Arabidopsis thaliana: one gene and its partners. The protein of the gene in region 2 interacts with the protein of the main gene of each other region in a pairwise test. Each region holds a gene or a part of one and is shown on either strand. Other genes may lie near its edges.

Region 1 (3,965 bases), on a different chromosome or scaffold from region 2:
GGCAATTTTTGTTTACACAGCTACGGTTCTAACCACCTCTCTCTCTCTCAAGTCCTTGAGTACTTTTGTAGAATCAGTTGTGCTTTGTATAAAAGTCACTGAAACTTAACCAGAAGCTGAACTTGTGAACACCTTTCGAGATTTAGAAGGTGACTCTAATTTCTTCCCCAACCAAAGCTAATATCTCATCCACCCTGTAACAAATACGCAACACCAGGTTAATCAGAATACACTTTGTTCCCAGAATTCGGGAATGACGATGGTGAAAATATTTTACCTATGAGTGTCGATGTTTACTTCTGCAAGCCAAGTTGTCAAGTAAATCTGTGGAACGAGAAGAATTGAAGTTTTACGATATAATGCTAACAGACAATTTTACTTGTGCGGAATCAAAATCCACATACCTGCAAAATTTCTGCGGTTGGCTGGTTGGTATGTGATATAGAAGAACTACCGATATTATAATCTTTCACTCTGGGGAGAACTGGCTTAGCTACTTCCATAGAATATAAAGAACATTTGGTGAGATGATCAAATTCTCCATGGTAAAGCTCATCTGACCAACTGTTGTTGATGGGTTGAGGAACTTCAGTGCTTAAAGAGATCAGTTCCATTATGAGCAATCTCTGTTAATTTCCCCGAAAAAAAAGATCAGAAGCTGATCTAGAGTTTAAGATACATGCAGGAGTTAGGAGTAGACAATACCTTTAGCATTACTTCGCGTTTGAACATCTCCACAAGCTCCTCAGCCATCTTCTCTGGGATCATTTCAACATGGCAAGTACCAAACTTTAGAGACAACATGGTAAGTAGTTAATAACTATTGAACATTGGTTTTATGGGTCTCTTACCAAATGCAGAGACATTCCAAAAATTAAACACAGGAATGCCACCGCAATCTCCAGCATCATTTGAATCTTCCTTAGTGCCAGAGAACTGTATAAGTGACCCGGTACTCAGCTTCGTGTAACATCTCAGAGATCTGCTTGCATTTACCATCTCAACAACAACAGCTACCTGCATTTTTCTACAGTTTTGTTTATAGATTCCAAATTACACCAGAATAAAATTTCTCAAATTCACAAGATTTTAGCATTGTCACACTTACCATTTCCTTGTACGAAGATAAAAGCTTGATTCGATAGGAACTCTGAACATAATAAGACTTAATATGAGAATTAAAAACAGAGAGAATGAATAGAAGACAAAAAATAGATTTGAAATGCAAATTTTCACCTGTTGCGTAAACAGCTTCTTCAAAGCTTTCTTGTCGATATCAAACATGTCACTCAACACACCAAGCTCCATCATTGGCATATACCTATTGCCATGGAAACACAAAAGCAGTAAGAATCACCAGGGACATCAAAGTGAAACAGAGTAAGTTGCAAATACAAATTAAGAAAATTCCACACTTTTGTGACAGATACGAATTGACTAGCAAAGTAGCGTGAGATCTTCCCGCAGAACAAGCGACGATCCACTGTTGCCGACAATTCGACAGGTTAGACCACTGGTTCCTAAGATTCCGCTGAGCAGCTGGTCTCCATAGCCTCATCGATGACGAAAAACTCCCCGGAGATGGAGATGAAGAAGCCAGCGATCGCGAAGAAGACGCCGGAGATGGAGAAGCAGGCGGCGGAAACTGCGAGATGCTCATCGAATACAAAACGAGTTTTTTGAGCTTGAGTCACACTCCTAAACTCTGTTACGTCGCCGGGAATTGAACGGCCGGCGATAGTTTGTTTTCTATTTCCACCCAGCTTAGGGCTTTATGAAGAAATACGAAAAGGTTACAATTGTAATTTTCATAAACTTCTGAACTTGTTTAAATTAATTTTAATTGTAATTAGCAATTATGTCTATATAATAGATCAATAGAATCTCTAAGAAGAATTACAGTAGATCAGATATATATTTACCAATCGGAGCTTCAGAGAGATCCAAAGAGAGAGATTGAGGATGTCTCACAGTCACGGGAACGCTTCGTCGGTGAACGATCCACGGCAGCCTTCGGCGGCAAAGCCTTACATTCCACGGCCTGTAGCGCCGGAGGATCTTCCCGTTGACTACTCCGGATTCATCGCCGTTATCCTCGGCGTCTCCGGCGTTATGTTCAGGGTAAATTTTCATTTCTCCTCTTCTGATCGTTGCTCTGTTAGAAATCAATTCAGTCGTAGAAACTAGTACTCCGGTTGGTGACTTAGATCGTCGGATTTTATAAGTTGAACTCACCGATTTAGCAACATCAATCTCTAGCTAGTTCGTGATGTTTTGAGACTGGATCTTTCCAATACTCGCTAGTGATTTTGAATGTTGAATTGATTTAAAGCTTACTTCCCCAAATAGGCAGATTCATGACTGTGTGATTGCATCATATTATAAGACTAGAGAAAATGTTAGATCTTGTTGAAATTTGAGCTCGAGAGATTGAGATAGTCAGTGTGAAAGTGGATTAAAAGATCATCATATGTGGAGTGAGAAATTCATCCTCTTTATTTATGTGGCTTGTGTATCTCTCAGTACAAGATATGCTCGTGGCTTGCAATTATATTCTGTGCACAATCTCTGGCCAACATGAGGAACTTGGAAAATGATTTAAAGCAGATCTCCATGGCTATGATGTATGTTCCTTTTCACTCATTCTTTCTTCTTATTTTTAAGTTAAGAGTGCCAAAAGCATTGAATAGTGAAATGAACCTCTCTATTCCTGTTAAAATCCAACATGGATCAGATTTAAGCTGATTGTTTCTACTCAATAAATTGTTGACTCTGAATCTGGTTTTCTTGTATTAAAAACAGGTTTGCTATAATGGGATTGGTTACAAACTACTTAGGGCCTAACAGACCCGCGACAAAGAAATAATCCTCATGTCTTAAGAGTAGTATGCTTTTTTTTGATAAACCTTGTATGGCTCTTGTTTCCGCACCAGAGATTGCTAGTGGTTTGTCTTTGTGTTTTCGACTCTCTAATCCTTGAGTAGCAAACTAGAACCTTGAGCTCTTGCTCATTTGTGGAGTTCAAAGACTTTTCAGTCCAGATGCAAAAAATGTGAAATCCGACTTTTTCTCTTTTGATCTCCCTGATTTTTGGACCCTGCTTCTTACAACACTGTTACGCGGACTAACATCAAAAACACTCCTCAAACCAAACAAACTCCTCAATCATTGTCACTAGTTCGAATGTCTCTAGTTTCTTGTTTCAATCTTTTATATGAAACTAATCAAGAACAAGAGATTTCATGTTGGCTTATGTTTTTAACTTCCTTATCAAATATTTAAATCTTCTTTGCGGAATAATACATATGGAATAATGATGTCGACTTGGCTTCCGGAGGTAAAATATTGACACTCATTAAATTAGAGACCTTGTAATACTCTGAAGCAAAGGAAGTTAAGTTTCAATGACTGATTCTAAACAGCACTCAACGACTTGATAGAGAGAGTTCTTCAGAATCTTCGCTGAGTAAAAACAAAATTAGATTCACTGGAGTTGTTACCTTGTGGAATTTCTGTTATGGGGCAAATTCTTTACTAAGTATACAAATGGATTTGACATCCAATATTCGTGATTAAGCATACAGTAATGCTACATGTCTACTACGAAATCTCCGGCCTTCTGACGATGGAGGCCTTCACTGTTCTCAGAAGTCCGACCAACTAACTCTTACCCACCCATAAACACAAACATTTTCGGGAGGATTGGCCAAAAAGTTAATTATATGGATCTATCAATAGTTAGAAAGAGAGACATTGTACCCTATCTGGAATATGCCGAGGCACTGGAGCTACGGTAACATATCTCTGTGGGTTTAACCTAAGTGAACTCACGGACCGGTCCATAGATGAGGACGATTGGTGGAAACTTGCAAAACGATTGATCACTGCAAACCTCTCTAGATCCTGGACTTCGACTCTCAAGTCTGTAATTGTAGTTCCTTTTTCTAGTCTGCAAGAAGAACCAG
Region 2 (4,921 bases):
TGGGAAGCGGGTTGCACCGAACCAAGCCCATGTAGCTAAACACTCACACGCGCGACGCATGTCTGAAAAGTGGTAATTGAATTTTGTTTAGAATGATTCTACAGAGGTTGAATTTGGTAAATGAATCAGAGGAATATTAAGCATTTGAGCATAATTTCCAATTTGGTCAGATTATGATATATGTAAATATGTCCATGATTCATTTTCTGTTTTTGGGTTCTCTTTGTTCATTTATTAAGTCATGGGCTGAAGTTTTCATATTTTAAGTCATGGGCTGAGTTCTCAAGGACTAAAACTGGTATTGATATTATGATCTGTTAAAAGCCAATTCATTTAAGGTGTTCAAAATCTAAACTGAATAATTGCGTTAAATTAAGCCGGACATGTTTCAATCAAAAGTCAATAGAATGTGTCAAAATACTCTGGGTACTTGGGTAGTATTAGTAACATTAACTTACAAGGATTTTTCTCTATATAAAAATACAGAGTACTAGTTTTGATTTTATCTGAGTGAGAACTTTCTAATAAAACTCTAATCGAAAACAATTAATATTTTGTATAAAATGGAGTGTAGAACCTAAATATTTTGTATTGCTTGGATATATAGTTTTTTTTCTTCTTAACATGGATATATAAGTTCTATTTCGTACATATTTCCCCTAATTTTAATGTTGAATTTTGGAAAACTTTTGTTGGATAGTGACATGAAGACCCTAATTTTAATCATAACATTTTGGAAAACTTGATTGGGTGAGTGATATGGAGGTGATGTTAACGTATGTTTGGTATCAATAGTTGGTCCAATTAGGCCCAAAGAGTCAAAAAAGGTGCCCAAGTGTTGTCAAAAGAGAAAACAATTAAGAATAGGGCAAAGCTTGGCCAGCAAGATTTAGTGGTCATTTCCTAGAAACGTGTCCAAGAATTTATAAAGATGGGTTGTCTTATAAATACATATCGTTCACGTAATTACCTGAGATCAAATCTTAATCATATCATTCATCGTATATAGACTCCAAACACGTTTTTCAAACTCCTATGATCATGTGTTCTCTCTTTGCCTCCGTCTTTGATTGCTTTGTTCCAAAATCAGACTCAAAGATTAGCTCAACTGATGAGAGTGACTTGAAAGTCCTGTCCTCAAAGAAACCAAAAAGCAAATCCCCGAGAGCTCCGATTATGGTGTCTTACTTTCCCGCCGGTTCAAACCTTTCGCGTCTATAAGTGCCAAATAGAAGAGAAGAGAAGATGAAGTATTGGGATGTTGATTTTGATATAAACGAAAGAAGTTTTTGGTTGTAGACATGTTGTATGCGCAGGCTTTAATTTTATGTTTTATTTAATTATGTACAAATAGACCATTTAGATTGATAGCATCATATATATGCTTTGTATTTAAGACCAAATAAAAGATTAATGTTTATATACATGCGTAAAAATGTTAAGAGCTTAGTTAGTATCATTTTCAAAAACTGATTGTCACTTGAGCTTTTATTTTTCTTATTTTTTTAATTAAGAAAAGTTGTGGCCCTCAAAAAGTTACATGGAATCGGAACAGGAAAAAAAAAATGTCGAAAACTGATTAATCTAGGCAACGTTATCGCATTTTCATATCTTACAAATCCCTTTTTCAATTCAGATTTGGTAGAAATGCAAGGAGAGTTCCATAGTGTATATGTAAAATTTGTATAAAACGTCTAGAAGAATTACAATGCTGAATTTGTTGGAAGCTCTGTTTTTCTCTGCTTAGACGTTTCCAACGTGTTTTGGGTTTCTCTGATCACTGTAAAGCCTAAACCACAAGAGAAGAAAAACCACGAAGCTTTGGGCTTTAAGGCCTTTTTGGGCCCTAGCCACAATAATGGAAGCCTATCAAGAAAAGACAAGACAAGACAATAAGACAGAAGAGGACAAGTGTTTAAAGTGGAAGTTATCTTTCTCACGTGGTCTAAAGAAAGGTTAAAAAAAAAGAGGGAAAAAAAAAAGAAGATGAGAGAAAGCAAAGTGTTGAAGACTTTTTAGAAAGCAGAAAAAAAAGCAGAGAGTGTATTCAAAGTCGGAAAGAAACCCTAAAGAAGAGGATTATGGGTGCTGTATCGATGGAGTCGCTTCCTTTAGGTTTCAGATTCAGACCTACCGATGAAGAGCTCGTCAATCACTACCTCCGTCTCAAGATCAACGGACGTCACTCCGATGTCCGTGTCATCCCTGATATCGATGTCTGCAAATGGGAACCTTGGGATCTTCCTGGTTCGTCTCTTTATTCTCTCAAAATTTGATTCCTTTTATTCTCAGATTCTGTTTTCCCTCTCAAAGATTCCACCTTTTTTTTCTTTACTCAATTGGAAACAAATCTGATTGTCGGCAGCTCTCTCGGTGATTAAGACGGATGATCCAGAGTGGTTCTTTTTCTGCCCTCGTGATCGGAAATACCCTAATGGTCATCGCTCTAACAGAGCAACTGACTCTGGCTATTGGAAAGCTACTGGTAAAGATCGTAGCATCAAGTCTAAGAAGACTTTAATCGGTATGAAGAAGACTCTTGTCTTCTATCGTGGACGAGCTCCTAAAGGTGAGCGGACTAATTGGATTATGCACGAGTATCGTCCCACTCTTAAGGATCTTGATGGCACTTCCCCTGGCCAAAGCCCTTACGTTCTTTGTCGCCTCTTCCACAAGCCTGATGATCGGGTTAATGGTGTCAAGTCCGATGAAGCAGCTTTTACGGCCAGCAACAAATACTCACCTGATGATACATCATCTGATCTTGTTCAAGAAACACCTTCCTCTGATGCTGCTGTTGAGAAACCATCAGATTATTCAGGTGGATGCGGTTATGCTCATAGTAATAGTACCGCAGATGGGACAATGATTGAGGTATGAATGGAAACTCTTGAATAATTAATTAGGCTTTTTTGAGTGACTTGACTAATTTTGAGTTTTGTGTTCATAGGCACCTGAAGAGAATCTTTGGTTATCTTGTGACCTTGAAGATCAAAAGGCACCACTACCGTGTATGGATTCTATATATGCTGGTGATTTCAGTTACGATGAGATTGGATTCCAATTTCAAGATGGTACCAGCGAACCAGATGTATCACTAACAGAATTGTTGGAGGAGGTGTTCAATAACCCTGATGACTTCTCTTGCGAGGAATCGATCAGTCGAGAGAATCCAGCAGTCTCACCAAATGGGATATTTTCATCTGCTAAAATGCTGCAGTCTGCAGCACCAGAGGATGCTTTCTTCAACGACTTCATGGCTTTCACTGATACAGATGCTGAGATGGCGCAATTGCAGGTGAGCACAAAGATACATATTTTGAGGCCTATACAATTTTAGAAGTATCCAAATTATTTTGCTTTAAGTAGGCTAGAAACCTCTAGATCAGTTATCTTTACAATCACTCTTGACATAAGTAAAATGACAATTTTTATCTTTTGTTTGATCAGTATGGTTCAGAAGGTGGAGCTTCTGGTTGGCCAAGTGACACTAATTCATACTATAGTGATTTGGTTCAGCAAGAGCAAATGATCAATCATAACACAGAGAACAACCTCACAGAAGGGAGAGGGATAAAGATCCGGGCTCGACAGCCTCAGAACCGGCAGAGTACAGGATTGATAAACCAGGGTATTGCTCCAAGGAGAATCCGTCTGCAGCTGCAGTCTAACTCTGAAGTAAAAGAACGAGAGGAGGTGAATGAAGGACACACTGTTATTCCCGAGGTACGAGACTAGTGATTCCAAAAGTTGTGTCTTAGACATCAATAACATAAAGGATGCATCTTTTTAATTTGTTGTTAATGGTGGGGATGTGCAGGCCAAAGAAGCTGCAGCTAAATACTCAGAGAAGAGTGGTTCTTTGGTTAAACCTCAAATAAAGCTCAGGGCGCGGGGAACTATAGGCCAAGTAAAAGGAGAGAGATTTGCAGACGACGAGGTAAGAATGAGTGAACTTGTTTACACATGAATGAAGAAAGAGTATAGTAGTAAGCTCTACTAAATACTATAGAATTAGAAAGAAAAAAAAGAGAAAGCAATCAGTAGAGCATGTGAGATCAGCTAGTAATGATAAAAGAAACTGAGAAGTATCTTTGTCTAAAGAGAAGTTTGTTGTGGTTACAGGTACAGGTGCAGAGCAGAAAGAGACGAGGAGGGAAGCGATGGAAGGTGGTTGCAACGGTAATGGTGGCTGTGATGGTTGGGGTAGGGATGGGTATATGGAGGACACTGGTGAGTTCATGACACATGAGACACAAAGAGAGAGAGAGAGAGAATCAAATGTAGTTTAATGTAATTAGGGATGATGCAATGTTAGCATGTTTGTGTGTTGTAACTTAAAAACTTATTTAGGAATCTGATAAAAGTTACTGTTGAATTTACACGGATGGTCAAGATTAAATGTACCAACATCTTAATTATCTACGGTCAAGATTAAAAATACCAACATCTTAAATTAACACCGCATCAAAGAATTATCTCAATCGTCGTCTCTCCCCAATTCAAAAAAAGAAATAACCTAAACGTGTTCACACAGAGGTAAGCTCGCTCCTACTCGCCGCCTCATCTGAGTCAACTCCGAGTCAGCTATTTTTCCCCACCGGATTCTCACTTTTGTTCCTCTCTGTGACAGATCTCGAGATGAAAGATAACCAAACGGAAGTTGAATCGAGGAGCACTGATGATAGGTATCTTTATATTTATCCGTAATCTCGATTCTTAGATTCAATTTGTTTCCGTAGTTTTGAAATCGTCTTTTATGATTCTCAGATTGAAAGTTAGAGGGAACAAAGTTGGAAAGAAAACAAAGGATCCAAACAGGCCTAAGAAACCACCAAGTCCTTTCTTCGTCTTCCTGTAAATAAAAATCACTAATCTCTCTTCTTCTTTTTTCTTCACTAATTTGATTACAGTAATTAAT
Region 3 (5,971 bases), on a different chromosome or scaffold from region 2:
AAAACTTTGTAGTTAGATCTCATGATATCCAAACATAGAATCACAATTTTGCTGAAGGAGCTTGGTACGAAGACCGCCTCAGAAGTAAATGATGGTTCTGTTTTAGCAACTTTGGATGCTGCTACTCGGGTTGAGCTTCTGAGCTCCCCTTCTTATGTCTTTTTGTTTGAGCATTTGTCCTCGTAGCTTTTTGTGTATACTCTCCACGTGGAGGCAACTCTCGTTTAAAGTTGAATGAAATGTTAGTTTGACCAAAGAAAATAAAAAATAAAGAATCACAATTTTGTGAAAACTGTGTAATAGTAGTTTTGTGGATCCTCCAGAACACCAATTAAGTCTAAAAGTGAAGTCAACTTGATAATGTCGGTGAGTTCTTTGTGATTGAAAAACTGAAAGAACACTATCAATTCTTTGTGATTATTCATGTATTTTATAGGGTTCAAGTTCAATTAGTGCCTGTACTTATAAAAGACTTCATTTGATGTAGTTAAAATATTAGATGGATGAATCAACTTATTTGATGCATTAAGAAGCAGTATAATCAAAATATCAAATAATAAAATTAGAAAACGGCAGGCTAACTTTGATAATCTAGGGAAATACATAAGTGTAGCTAGAGATTTGAAAACCTATAGCATACAAATCAGCAAAAGAATGTCTATCGCATCAATTTGCATTTTTGTTTTGGCACGGTCTTTTGATGATTCCAACGTTCGAATTAACGTAATAAGTAGAAAATGAGAACAACAGACTTCGTTACAATCAATAAATTCCCGGAATGATCCTGTATTTGACTTTCTCACAATACAGCTTCCAATATTTCCCATACCTTTTTACCAAAACAAAACCCGAATATTGTCAGCAAATCAGAGTAAGATCAAAGAGGATGTGTAAAATAAATCATTTAGATTTGGTGCTTACTTTGATCGGCATCGGTCATCGTCTCTCTTGGCTCGATCAAAGAGAAGAAGGGTGAGAAATATGACGTAGAAGTATGCCAAGAACTGGTTTAAACAAAGATGATTTATATGTTAAGTGCGTTTAACTTGCAAGAAGAGCTTCGAATATAGCAAATAGATGGATAGTATTTTACGTTATCGAAGAGAGCCGGTACGGTCCAGAAGAAAGCACTTAAGATCTCAGGAACATAATGGAAATGACGAGCCAATCCCCACCTGCACATTCAAAGCCATTGATGATGAACAACGTCTACTTTTATGGTTGTAACTGTATAATGTAGAATAGTCTCACCATCCAGACGTTAAGAGAAGACTAGTTTTAGTTTCACCAGATGTTGTAGTATACGACGCCACAATCTGCAACAAACCGAGAGACCAAGAGAGATTCATACACATCAAAATGTTTAGGTCTGAAAAGGAATATAGCTAAGTTCACTAAGCTAGTTGGGGCTTATTATGATCACACCTTTGACGGGGCCCTTCCCCAAACCAAACATTTCCCGTTTGTCCTCCTGAACTCTTGCCTTTGTCTATCACAGTCATAGTTTATGTAAATGCACAGAATTCCTGCAACGAGAATGTATATTGCCAACTGCAACCAAAGACGGATATAGTGAAGTCTTAGGTACGGAGATAGGCATATATGTCCCGATGATCGTAGCATCAGTGGTGTTTTCATGAACAGCTTTCTTCTACTACTAGAAAAACTGATATCTGGCAACTACAATCATGAGCATAATATGCAACGAGCATTTGATCAACAATCTACACTTTACTCTCTCCCGTCTGTTTTGTAATGGAAGATACCAAGTAATTCAATAACAAGAGTTAAGTGCAATTCCTAGAAATTGGGATTTTCACATTTAGCTCAACCTTACTTGTTTTTTTTCGTATAAAAAAGTGGTATCCTAAAAGTTTCTCATTGGATTAACACACAAAGACGATTTCTCTCTTCTAGACAAATTCAAAATTATGCACCTGAGTTCCGAGTTCGACGGGGTGGTTCACAAGGTACATGCCTGGAGAAGTGTAGACAGAAGGCACCCACACTAGACAACCCCAGCATATATAGAATCCAGCTGAAGAATCATAAATTATAAAGCATTGAAAAGTAAGCTTAAGTTCATGTGTTAAAGCCAGTAACAATAATCTGAATAATATGCTGCTGCCTTAGCCATATAAACAGAACTGGCAAGGAAATTATAGCCAAACAGTAGAGAAACTTTTGTTATTACTACTGGCTTTCTTTCCTTGTACCCTATATGAGGATGTGATGATATAAATTTTATATATGTACCAGAAGCATACCTCGGTCATGTGCAATGTCCATGGTGTTCCAATAACCAGCTTCCCACCAGAAGAATTTTGTGACATACACCAGCATCAGGATGGTGTTCACCAGCATTGAATCAGATACTTTGCCATTTATTTCATACTGGTTAAAGAAAGTACAGGAATCACAAATCAGAAAGAGGTGAAGCTCTCTAATGAAATAAGGACTTAAAGAAACCACCAGACTATGTCGTCAGAGTGTAGTATTTACATAAGAATTATCCAGAAAATACCTGTTTTATGCAGTACGTGACTGCAAGAACTGCCCAAGACATCATTCCGAATCTGCAATTAGTAAACACCTTGATGTCAAAGCTCTTACCAATTCGAGGGTACAACTCCATGCCCTGCAAAGCACGACGCGAAAAACACAGTGAGAAAAAGATTGCCACAAATTGGATTGTGTTAATGATAAGTTGGAGCAAAAGAGTACATGGTGAGAGAAGATCTCAACTTGATATTGTTATAATAACTACTGGATACTTTGTTCTTTTCCTTCACCGACAGACATTCACACCAAACTAGTTCTCTTGTACTTAAATCAATAAAAAGATAAATACTGCTAAGAACATTTCCGTTTACAGGTCTACTAAAATTGGAAACTTTAGTGAAACTTGACCTCCAAATGTCGAGAAAAGAGGCAAAAATATTATGAGGAGATGGCTAGTAAGACCAGAGTTCCTCAAATAAATCCCAACAAGCAATTTCAAAAAGAATGAGAATCTGATCAGCAGAAATAACTCACCCAATAGAAGTCAATTATTAGGTTACCACATGAACCAGAGTCACTTGATGAAGGTGCAACATGGCCCTGTACAAGAAAAAAAAATAAGTTTTAGCAACACAAAAGGTCAAATTCTACAAAAATAGAGACTAAGAAAACAAAGAACACACCATTCATGCAATAGACACTTACTTTTATGTACAACAAAACACAAAATATGAAGCTTCCGAATATTAGTGCCGAAAATATTTCACCCAAGTGATCATAGACAATTGCAGGGTTGAAGATTCCAAACCTGAATAACGCACAGAAATGAACTCACATAGGTGCAACACTTAATCCAAGCTTAAGATACGTAAACAATAACTTAAACCAAACCAAAGTCATCGGAAACATTTCTTACCACCAAAGACCAAGATAGGTTGCTAGTGTCACAAAGTAAGCAGCCAGACCATTGGCCTGCAAGAAAAGAACCGTACAGTTGTCATCTGCATCAACTTCCACCACACAAGACTAAATGAACATACCTTGTAAACTGGTCGGTTTCCGGCTGGAGATATTGGACCCTCAACTCTTTTACCAGGCAGAAGCAGCTGAAGAATAGCTTCAAATGCTCCATAGCAAAATATAATTTTCCAAGCAATCAAAGTGGGTCTTGGCCATATGTTGATAAGTCCTTGAACTCCATTCTCCCAAAAGAAGCCAAAGGTCTGAGTAACAGAACCATCCTGATGAACCATTGTGTACCATCTGCATCATAAAGAAATGAAACTTGTGAGCATTACTTAAAACTCACTAAATATGATTTTGTAGCTTTAAATCTACCCTTGTTTCCTAAAAATCTGGAAACTCACATTGGCCAGAGAAAGAATCATTGAATCGCTTTTTCAATTAAAGACTCTTATCAAGTCCTACTTAATGGGAAAGGATTTAAAGATATCGGCTATGCACTTCTCGCTATGAATTAAGGAGCCAGAAAAGTGTGCGAGTCTGATCTGAGAACTAGAATAAAGACTTGCGAATCAGAAATTGATGAGCTTACAGGAGAATGACGAAAGGTGGACAGAAGGCGAGAAGCGATAACATCGATGCGTAAGTAACGATCGGAGAATGTACAGTCTCCGCCATTTTCTTCTTCTGCTTCTCTCGTCTCGGCCAAAGCCTCAGATTCTGATCTGTGTTGACTAATCAACAGAGTCTGCGAAGTTAACGATGAAGACGATGAACTTCACAGGTCTACTGTGAAACTCAGATAAATCCCACGTGTCACGTGCTCTCCACATGTTTTTTCTAATTCCAATTTTACCCTTGAGACTTTTCTTCGCCATCGTTTTTGATTGATCCCAATCTTCTTAGCTTCTTCTCTCTCAACCCTCAAAAGATCTTCGTCATCTCTGTATTCAACACATAGTGATGAATCGAGACTAACAAAATCAAATTCTCTTCACTCTGATTCGCAGTCATAGTTTACCAATTTCTTCTAACTCGCAAGCAATGGCTTGCCTTGGAAGAAAATTCTCCAGAATTGGTTGAATTCGTGTAAGTATCGATTTTTTCTAATGTTTTTGGTAACTCCCGGCGAAACCTAGATCTAGTTTTCTGATGCTGTGTTGAATTCTTTTGCGTTTCTCAGTTTTTTTTCATTTCCAGAAATTTTAGTATGTTTAAGAGATGCAATTAGTGCCTAGTGATGATGATGATGATAGAAAGGAACAGATTTTATTCGACGAATCAACATCCTCAAACGAAATCGTAGCAGCGGAAAGAGGAGATCGTGTTGTGGAGGAAGGACAAGTTTCAGAAATAGCTGAGACTGATGATGACGAAACCACACTTCTTGTTTCTGGAGATCAACCACAATGTCGAATTTGCCTTGATGTTGGAGGTATAATAAAAGCAATTCCTTAACTCAATTGAGTGAGGATACAATGAGACGACTTGGTTTGTTCTTTGATTGCAGGGGAAGATCTGATTGCTCCGTGCAATTGTAAAGGTACTCAAAAGCACGTTCACAGATCTTGTCTCGATAATTGGCGCTCCACCAAGGTATATTATCGTCACCGTTTCCAGAAAGTTTCTTCTTCTTTTGAATGAATGGTTTACTTAGCTTATGAAGTGTATTTTGTTTCTATGCAATATATGTTTCAGGAAGGTTTTGCATTTTCGCATTGTACAGAGTGTAGAGCCTTTTTCAAACTCCGAGCCAATGTGCCTGCTGATAGATGGTGGTTGAGATTGAGATTTCAGCTGCTGGTTGCTAGAGATCATGCCTTCATCTTCATTTCTGTCCAGATGGTACATGACTTGTTTCCTTTTTTTGATTTTAGTGTTTAATACACTTTCTTCTTCTATGATGTTACTAGCTTCTTGACTCCCAATCTCCCATTTTATGACCAAATTCGTTGTTTCCTAGCTATAAAATTGGTCATATAGCTAAGGATTTGCATTCTCATGATTGAGTTTAGTGTTTATAGACTTTCTTCTATAATGTTACTATATACTAGAATTCAATCATGAGAATGCAAATCCTTAGCTATAATTGCCACATAGCAGTTTATGACCAAACTATTGGTTTCTTATCGCATTTGAACACCGAAACAGGAGATCCCTTGTATGAATTCGGATTGGATGATACATTTGATGCTCTTAGTGAATGCATTTATATACTAATGAACAAAGGCTTCTCGTATCAACAGATTGTAGCATTCTTGGGGTTACTAGTTTACAAGTTCTACGGTGAAGAACTACGAGAAATGTTTGGTTATGAGGAACATCCTTATGGGTTCTACACATTGGCTGGTACAACTATTTTTGTTTTCTATAGGCTCATGGACATTAGCCCAGTCACCAGGATTAGAGTCAATCAGAATCATCTTTGTGCTGAACCACTTGAGCGTATAATGAACATGATGGTCTATTTTTTGTTGCAGTTTTGGCCATTGTCTTGGTAGGACTG
Region 4 (5,729 bases), about 17 Mb from region 2:
GAAGAAGAACAAAATAAGGCCCAAAAGAGACTCAATTTCTAGGCAATCCCACGAGCAAGAGAAACCCTAGGCAACAACTTAACAAACAAAACAAAATTGACACTGGATAAAGCAAAAGAGACGAAAGTGATACAGCATTTACAAAATTGAGCTAAGAGAGTGACGCATGCATGATAAGGAACCTAGCGAAATCAAAAATATATTTTTAAGTAACAAGTGAGTAAAGGCGTTAAATCACGAAATGCATAGGGGAATCGAAAAAATTCATTAAACGAGAGATTTCACTGTGAAAACAGAGAATAGAAGAAATCTGGAGCTTACGCTAGAGAGGGAAGGAAAAGGAACAACACGGCGATGACTCAACGCTTGATGAAGAGTGGAGTAGAGAGAGAGTGAGTGAGGAAGATGAAGAGTTATTTTATTTTGGAAAATATATCAGAAAAATTAGAGGGTGATTTGCAAGAATAACACATTTTTATACAAGAATTAAGAATATAGCACTATTAATTAACAAAGTAATTTAAAAATAGATAAAAGAGAAATTTTCACAAATAGCATAATTTTAAGTTTTTTTGACAAAACCTATTTTATACTATAGTTTTTTGACAAAATTTTAAGTTTTTTTTTGGACAAAATTGATGAATAAAACCTATGATCCAAATTGTGAATGATTTATACTATAAGCAATATAGTGGCCACAAAATTGGTCAAGAATTTTTAGTGGCTTTATCAAATAGCCACTGACTGGAGATTTTTTTTTAAAAAATATGTGTCTGGTCAAAGTATGTAATTATATATCTATGTGTAAAATTGTATCATAAAACATTAAGGTTTCCAGGATTATTTTTCTTCTCAAAATTTAATATAGTGACTTTGTTTTACTCTAAGAGCTTATAGTCACCAAAGTTGTTATATATATTAATATATGTCTCATTTTTTTTTTTTATAAAAAGAATCAATTATGAGAAAGCCACTTTTGAAAGTGACATTTGTTGATTTTGCAATTTTCCATATAGTTTGTGAATTTGCCATTTTTAGTTAATAATAGATACCAGTTAATACGTGGATATAGTCGGTTAGATTTGTTTTTAAAATTTAGTATTTGGTTTAAAGTACATATTTTGCAAAAACATTTTATATATACATACAGTTTTAAGTGTTCAAAATGACAAATCCTCAAGATTTTAGTAAAAACTAATGACATTGTTGTACAATTTTAGTGCTTAATTTTAGTATTTTAGTTATTTTATGGGCTGCACTTTAGCAATAAATGTCTCTTTGTTTTCACTTTTCAGCAGTTGGAACTTTGAACAAATGGAAACAAAAAAATGTAGAAGACAATTTTATTTTTAAGCCCATCAAAAATACAAATGAGATTGTAAGCCCAATATATTAACCAACCTACCTTTTTCTTTTGTCAGCTCTCTCTATTTCTCTAAAGGTGACGTCATCTTCGGCGGTAACGGCTCAGATATTTTCCACAATAACTTCCAATAATACCCCTGCCATTAACCAATAGTACCCATGTTTCCTCTTTGCAACGTGGGGGTAGATTCATGAAATGAGAACAGAACGGAGGTTCCAACGAGTAGAAGATGATGTGCCACGTGTCACTATATCGACCCCCCTTTCCTCTTCCTTCCTTCCCCAATAGAGAGGGATTTTCCCGCTTCAGCGTCTCTCAGTCTCTCTCTCGGCTTTATCCAAAGGTTCCTTCGTTTACTCCGCTTCTATGGAAGAAGCTTGAATCCTTCTCTCTTCTTCTTCTCCTTCTTCCCTTGACATTTTTGTTCTGAGAAGCAACATGGCCCTCGGTGGCTTGATTTCAAATCGGAACTTCGGTTCCTTCATCGGCTCAGGTATATCTATCCCCCTCCTCTTTTTGAATCTGTTAGGGCTTTTTAGTTGTTTATCGGATTATGTTAGTGATTAGGCTTGAGCGTAGCTTGCTTCTGTGTAGCGAACGATATCACTAATGTGTGCATTGCTTCCAAATTTGCTAAGATTGCTTTACTTTGTAGGCAATGGTTGTCAGAGACTTGGAAAAAGTGGTGCAGAGGTTTCCAAGCTTTTTCCAAATGGTATATATCGGTATCTTTTATACCTCTCTACCTAGCTATATTATGCAATTTGTGCTTAAGCATTTTCTTAATCTTTGTAGCATTGTTGTGCCGTAATCATCAACCTCTGCAAGCTAGTTTACATCATGAATCGGGACACATGAGAAGAAGTTTTGGATGTTTCCTTCAACCAAGAATGGACAGTGTAATTAGGTTTAGGAACAGTATCAAGATCAACAGATCTCGTGCTTACTACAAATCAGAGGAGTCAGATATCACGGAAGGAGTTGTGCCATCGGCTGATGGCTCAGCTGAAGCTATTTTAGTTGAAGGAAATCTACAGAACGCATCTCCATGGTGGCAGCAGTTTCCTAGACGCTGGGTGATCGTCTTGTTATGCTTTTCGTCTTTTCTTCTTTGCAATATGGACCGTGTAAGTTGTATATCTTGCTTATTTTCTCTACTTATCTGAAGAAGTAAGATATATATTACTTAATGAGAGATGCTTGTGGCAGGTGAACATGAGCATTGCAATTCTTCCCATGTCACAAGAATATAACTGGAGTAGTGCAACTGTTGGCTTAATTCAGTCCTCTTTCTTCTGGGGCTATTTACTTACTCAGGTCAGGTCTAATACTATCACTCTCTGTAGAATCTGATCTTTTATAGAACTCGAAAGAGAGGGTATATTTATTCTAACTTTAGCTCATCTTCTCTTGGACATAGATTCTGGGAGGTATATGGGCAGATAAGTTTGGCGGGAAGGTTGTTTTAGGTTTTGGTGTTGTCTGGTGGTCCTTTGCCACTATTATGACACCTATTGCTGCTAGACTTGGTCTTCCTTTTTTGCTTGTAGTGCGGGCGTTCATGGGCATTGGCGAGGTTGGCCTCTTCTGTTCTTCTTTTCTCTTGCTATACTTGTCTCAGACCTGTACAACTTCTCACTAGCTGGTTCTGTCTACCTTTGCTTCAGGGTGTTGCAATGCCTGCTATGAACAACATGCTTTCTAAATGGATCCCTGTCTCAGAGAGAAGCAGATCGCTTGCACTGGTCTATAGTGGCATGTATCTTGGTTCCGTCACAGGATTGGCATTCTCTCCTATGCTAATCACCAAGTTCGGATGGCCATCTGTTTTCTACTCGTTTGGCTCCCTCGGAAGTATATGGTTTTTGCTATGGCTAAAATTTGTATGAACTCCTCTTCATGACATAAGCTAAATATCTGAGATCTACAAAACCTCCAAGAGATTTATATTTTAAACACCTTTTTAATTCTTCTCAGGCATATAGCTCTCCCAAGGATGACCCGGACCTAAGTGAAGAAGAAAAAAAGGTTATACTGGGAGGTAGCAAACCAAGGGAACCTGTTACAGTGATTCCATGGAAGCTAATACTGTCTAAACCCCCAGTCTGGGCTCTCATAATTTCCCACTTCTGCCATAATTGGGGAACTTTCATACTATTGACATGGATGCCCACATATTACAATCAGGCACGGAGTTCAGCTTCAGTTATATCCTTACTGTTTAATATTTTTTGTGAACAAGTAAAGAGACTCCTCTCTATTGTTGGTCTTTGATCACGCTGCAGGTCTTGAAGTTCAACCTCACTGAATCCGGGCTACTATGCGTTTTGCCATGGCTAACCATGGCTGTTTTTGCTAATATTGGAGGTTGGATTGCTGATACTCTTGTGAGCAGAGGTCTTTCAATTACAAACGTTCGAAAGGCAAGAAATACACTCTTTCACTTTCTGATCATTTACATGTCTCTACTACCTCAAAAGGCCAAACTTGTTATGCTGCTTTCAGTTAAAGGAGTGACAACAAACCCTTTATACCAATAAACTACTCTCATGAATCTATTATGGCTACTCCAAAGGATACTCACGACTAATAAACTCTTGATTATTGCAGATTATGCAATCAATTGGTTTTCTAGGCCCTGCCTTCTTCCTGAGTCAGCTGAGCCATGTCAAAACTCCAGCAATGGCAGTTCTCTGCATGGCATGCAGTCAGGTATTGGTGTCAATAGATCATATGATTGAAAGAGCCATAGAATTATGGATAAGTTTGGAACTGTTAAAAACATGTTTGCCGTTTTTTATTTCACACCTGCCGACACAAGATTATTCTTGTGAGAGTACAACTATAATTGAACCCCAACTTAAATGCAATGTCGGCTACAAAAAGAAACAGTTGTCACCCTTAGAAAAATTCATGAGTTGTGTACAGCTCTGACATAAAGACTCATGTTGTCCCCAACAGGGCTCTGATGCATTCTCTCAGTCGGGTCTCTACTCTAATCATCAAGACATTGGCCCACGATACGCTGTGAGATAAACATCAATTCTTTCTCTTTTATTACTTTGTCACCAAACTTGTTCCACTTCATTAACTATGGCTTGGCTCGCAGGGTGTACTCTTAGGACTATCAAACACAGCAGGAGTCCTAGCTGGTGTCTTTGGCACTGCAGCTACTGGTTACATCCTCCAACGAGGTATCTTCTATCTTTATTCACATTCTTGCCAACCATAAGGTGGACAAATTATAGTACTTCCGACTATTATTAACCATGTTGTTTGGTTTTTACCTAAACATTTAGGTTCATGGGATGATGTGTTCAAAGTAGCAGTTGCACTGTATCTAATTGGAACTCTGGTCTGGAACTTGTTCGCAACCGGAGAAAAAATTCTCGACTAGAACCAAGAAACTAATAGCTGCAGTGAAATTGTGTGAGGAAGCTTTATATTTGTTCTTTCTCTGCTTATAAATTTGATCTGATAGTGAGATCAAAATGGTTCGCTGGTCTGTTTCATAAAGTAACATGTTAAAGAAAAGATGTATTTTTTTGGAACTTGACTCTTTTGAAGCTTACAATTTGATGGGGATGGAGAAAAAGAAACCAAAACAAAAACAATCAAACTTTTTTACTTTAGGAAGAAGAGTATTTGCTTACAAAGTTTACATAGCACAACGAAATCATTTTTTTTACTGTTTTACACAACAATCACAAAACCCAAAGGTAAATGTATGTATTAATTACTATAAAAATGTTATCAACCCGAGAAGCTGCATTACACGGCAACCGCCACAGCCGCATTAACGGCGACGCCTTCACCGATACCGCCGTTGCATTTTCCGTTAAGAACAACGACGTCGTTTCTCTCTTTGGGTACGAGACTCTTCATCATCACTTCCAAATCCCTCTTGTGCACGTTGACCAAAAGTCCGTTCTTCATGAACAAAGTCAACGACATCTTCTGCTCCACCTTGTGTCCCGGCGCCACCGTTAGTCTATGCCTGAGTAAAACCGCCGCCGCGATCGTCTTCATCTGCAGATACGCTAGATCTTTTCCTAGACAGATCCTAGGTCCGGCGTTAAACGCCACGAATCGGTACTGATCGTGATTCACGAATTTTCCATCGTCCGGCGAGATCCACCTCTCCGGTTTGAATTCCAAGCAATCCTCTCCCCACGTGCTCTTCATCCTCCCCGCCGCGTAGATCGAATAAGTCACCGACGATCCCGCCGGTACGAAAGTTCCGTCCGGTAAGATATCGTCGTTCACGACGTGCTTTGAATCTTCCGGCACCGACGGGTAAAGCCTCAACGTCTCAGAGAGCGCGGCCTTCAGGTAAACCAACCGGTCGACCTCATCGAATTCC

The links.
Region 1: the proteins of NTL9 (region 2) and AT5G07960 interact in a two-hybrid assay, tested with the Arabidopsis thaliana proteins (one large-scale study listed by BioGRID).
Region 3: the proteins of NTL9 (region 2) and DWF5 interact in a two-hybrid assay, tested with the Arabidopsis thaliana proteins (one large-scale study listed by BioGRID).
Region 4: the proteins of NTL9 (region 2) and ANTR2 interact in a two-hybrid assay, tested with the Arabidopsis thaliana proteins (one large-scale study listed by BioGRID).

The regions. Positions count from the first base shown.
Region 1 is NC_003076.8:2,540,388-2,544,352, forward strand, and holds AT5G07960 (asterix-like protein), read left to right. Parts: upstream 1-1,858; 5' UTR 1,859-1,962; coding exon 1,963-2,121; intron 2,122-2,523; coding exon 2,524-2,624; intron 2,625-2,802; coding exon 2,803-2,866; 3' UTR 2,867-3,259; downstream 3,260-3,965. Other genes in the region: AT5G07950 (uncharacterized protein), read right to left, coding at 143-194, 278-324, 405-626, 706-758, 852-1,017, 1,109-1,150, 1,237-1,321, 1,416-1,660; AT5G07970 (dentin sialophosphoprotein-like protein), read right to left, coding at 3,739-3,949.
Region 2 is NC_003075.7:16,887,905-16,892,825, reverse strand, and holds NTL9 (NAC transcription factor-like 9), read left to right. Parts: upstream 1-2,024; 5' UTR 2,025-2,081; coding exon 2,082-2,247; intron 2,248-2,365; coding exon 2,366-2,874; intron 2,875-2,950; coding exon 2,951-3,298; intron 3,299-3,450; coding exon 3,451-3,726; intron 3,727-3,820; coding exon 3,821-3,940; intron 3,941-4,106; coding exon 4,107-4,292; 3' UTR 4,293-4,421; downstream 4,422-4,921. Other genes in the region: HMGB5 (high mobility group B5), read left to right, coding at 4,642-4,688, 4,771-4,857. UniProt on the Arabidopsis thaliana protein: Transcriptional activator activated by proteolytic cleavage through regulated intramembrane proteolysis (RIP). Calmodulin-regulated transcriptional repressor. Binds several synthetic promoters with randomly selected binding sites.
Region 3 is NC_003070.9:18,681,413-18,687,383, forward strand, and holds DWF5 (Ergosterol biosynthesis ERG4/ERG24 family), read right to left. Parts: upstream 4,241-5,971; 5' UTR 4,144-4,240; coding exon 4,058-4,143; intron 3,766-4,057; coding exon 3,543-3,765; intron 3,475-3,542; coding exon 3,419-3,474; intron 3,311-3,418; coding exon 3,208-3,310; intron 3,103-3,207; coding exon 3,037-3,102; intron 2,639-3,036; coding exon 2,525-2,638; intron 2,395-2,524; coding exon 2,268-2,394; intron 2,039-2,267; coding exon 1,938-2,038; intron 1,552-1,937; coding exon 1,426-1,551; intron 1,317-1,425; coding exon 1,252-1,316; intron 1,176-1,251; coding exon 1,094-1,175; intron 1,005-1,093; coding exon 922-1,004; intron 830-921; coding exon 763-829; 3' UTR 520-762; downstream 1-519. Other genes in the region: AT1G50440 (RING/FYVE/PHD zinc finger superfamily protein), read left to right, coding at 4,687-4,900, 4,976-5,061, 5,164-5,310, 5,712-5,814, 5,946-5,971. UniProt on the Arabidopsis thaliana protein: Production of cholesterol by reduction of C7-C8 double bond of 7-dehydrocholesterol (7-DHC). Lesions in the gene coding for the enzyme cause dwarfism.
Region 4 is NC_003075.7:162,187-167,915, reverse strand, and holds ANTR2 (Major facilitator superfamily protein), read left to right. Parts: upstream 1-1,558; 5' UTR 1,559-1,804; coding exon 1,805-1,859; intron 1,860-2,021; coding exon 2,022-2,081; intron 2,082-2,161; coding exon 2,162-2,493; intron 2,494-2,575; coding exon 2,576-2,683; intron 2,684-2,786; coding exon 2,787-2,942; intron 2,943-3,033; coding exon 3,034-3,249; intron 3,250-3,343; coding exon 3,344-3,553; intron 3,554-3,651; coding exon 3,652-3,789; intron 3,790-3,976; coding exon 3,977-4,078; exon of another isoform or gene 4,079-4,327; coding exon 4,328-4,393; intron 4,394-4,475; coding exon 4,476-4,560; intron 4,561-4,665; coding exon 4,666-4,763; 3' UTR 4,764-5,019; downstream 5,020-5,729. Other genes in the region: CYP86A2 (cytochrome P450, family 86, subfamily A, polypeptide 2), read right to left, coding at 5,138-5,729. UniProt on the Arabidopsis thaliana protein: Inorganic phosphate and probable anion transporter. Ascorbate transporter bridging the chloroplast envelope. Transports ascorbate from the cytosol into the chloroplast.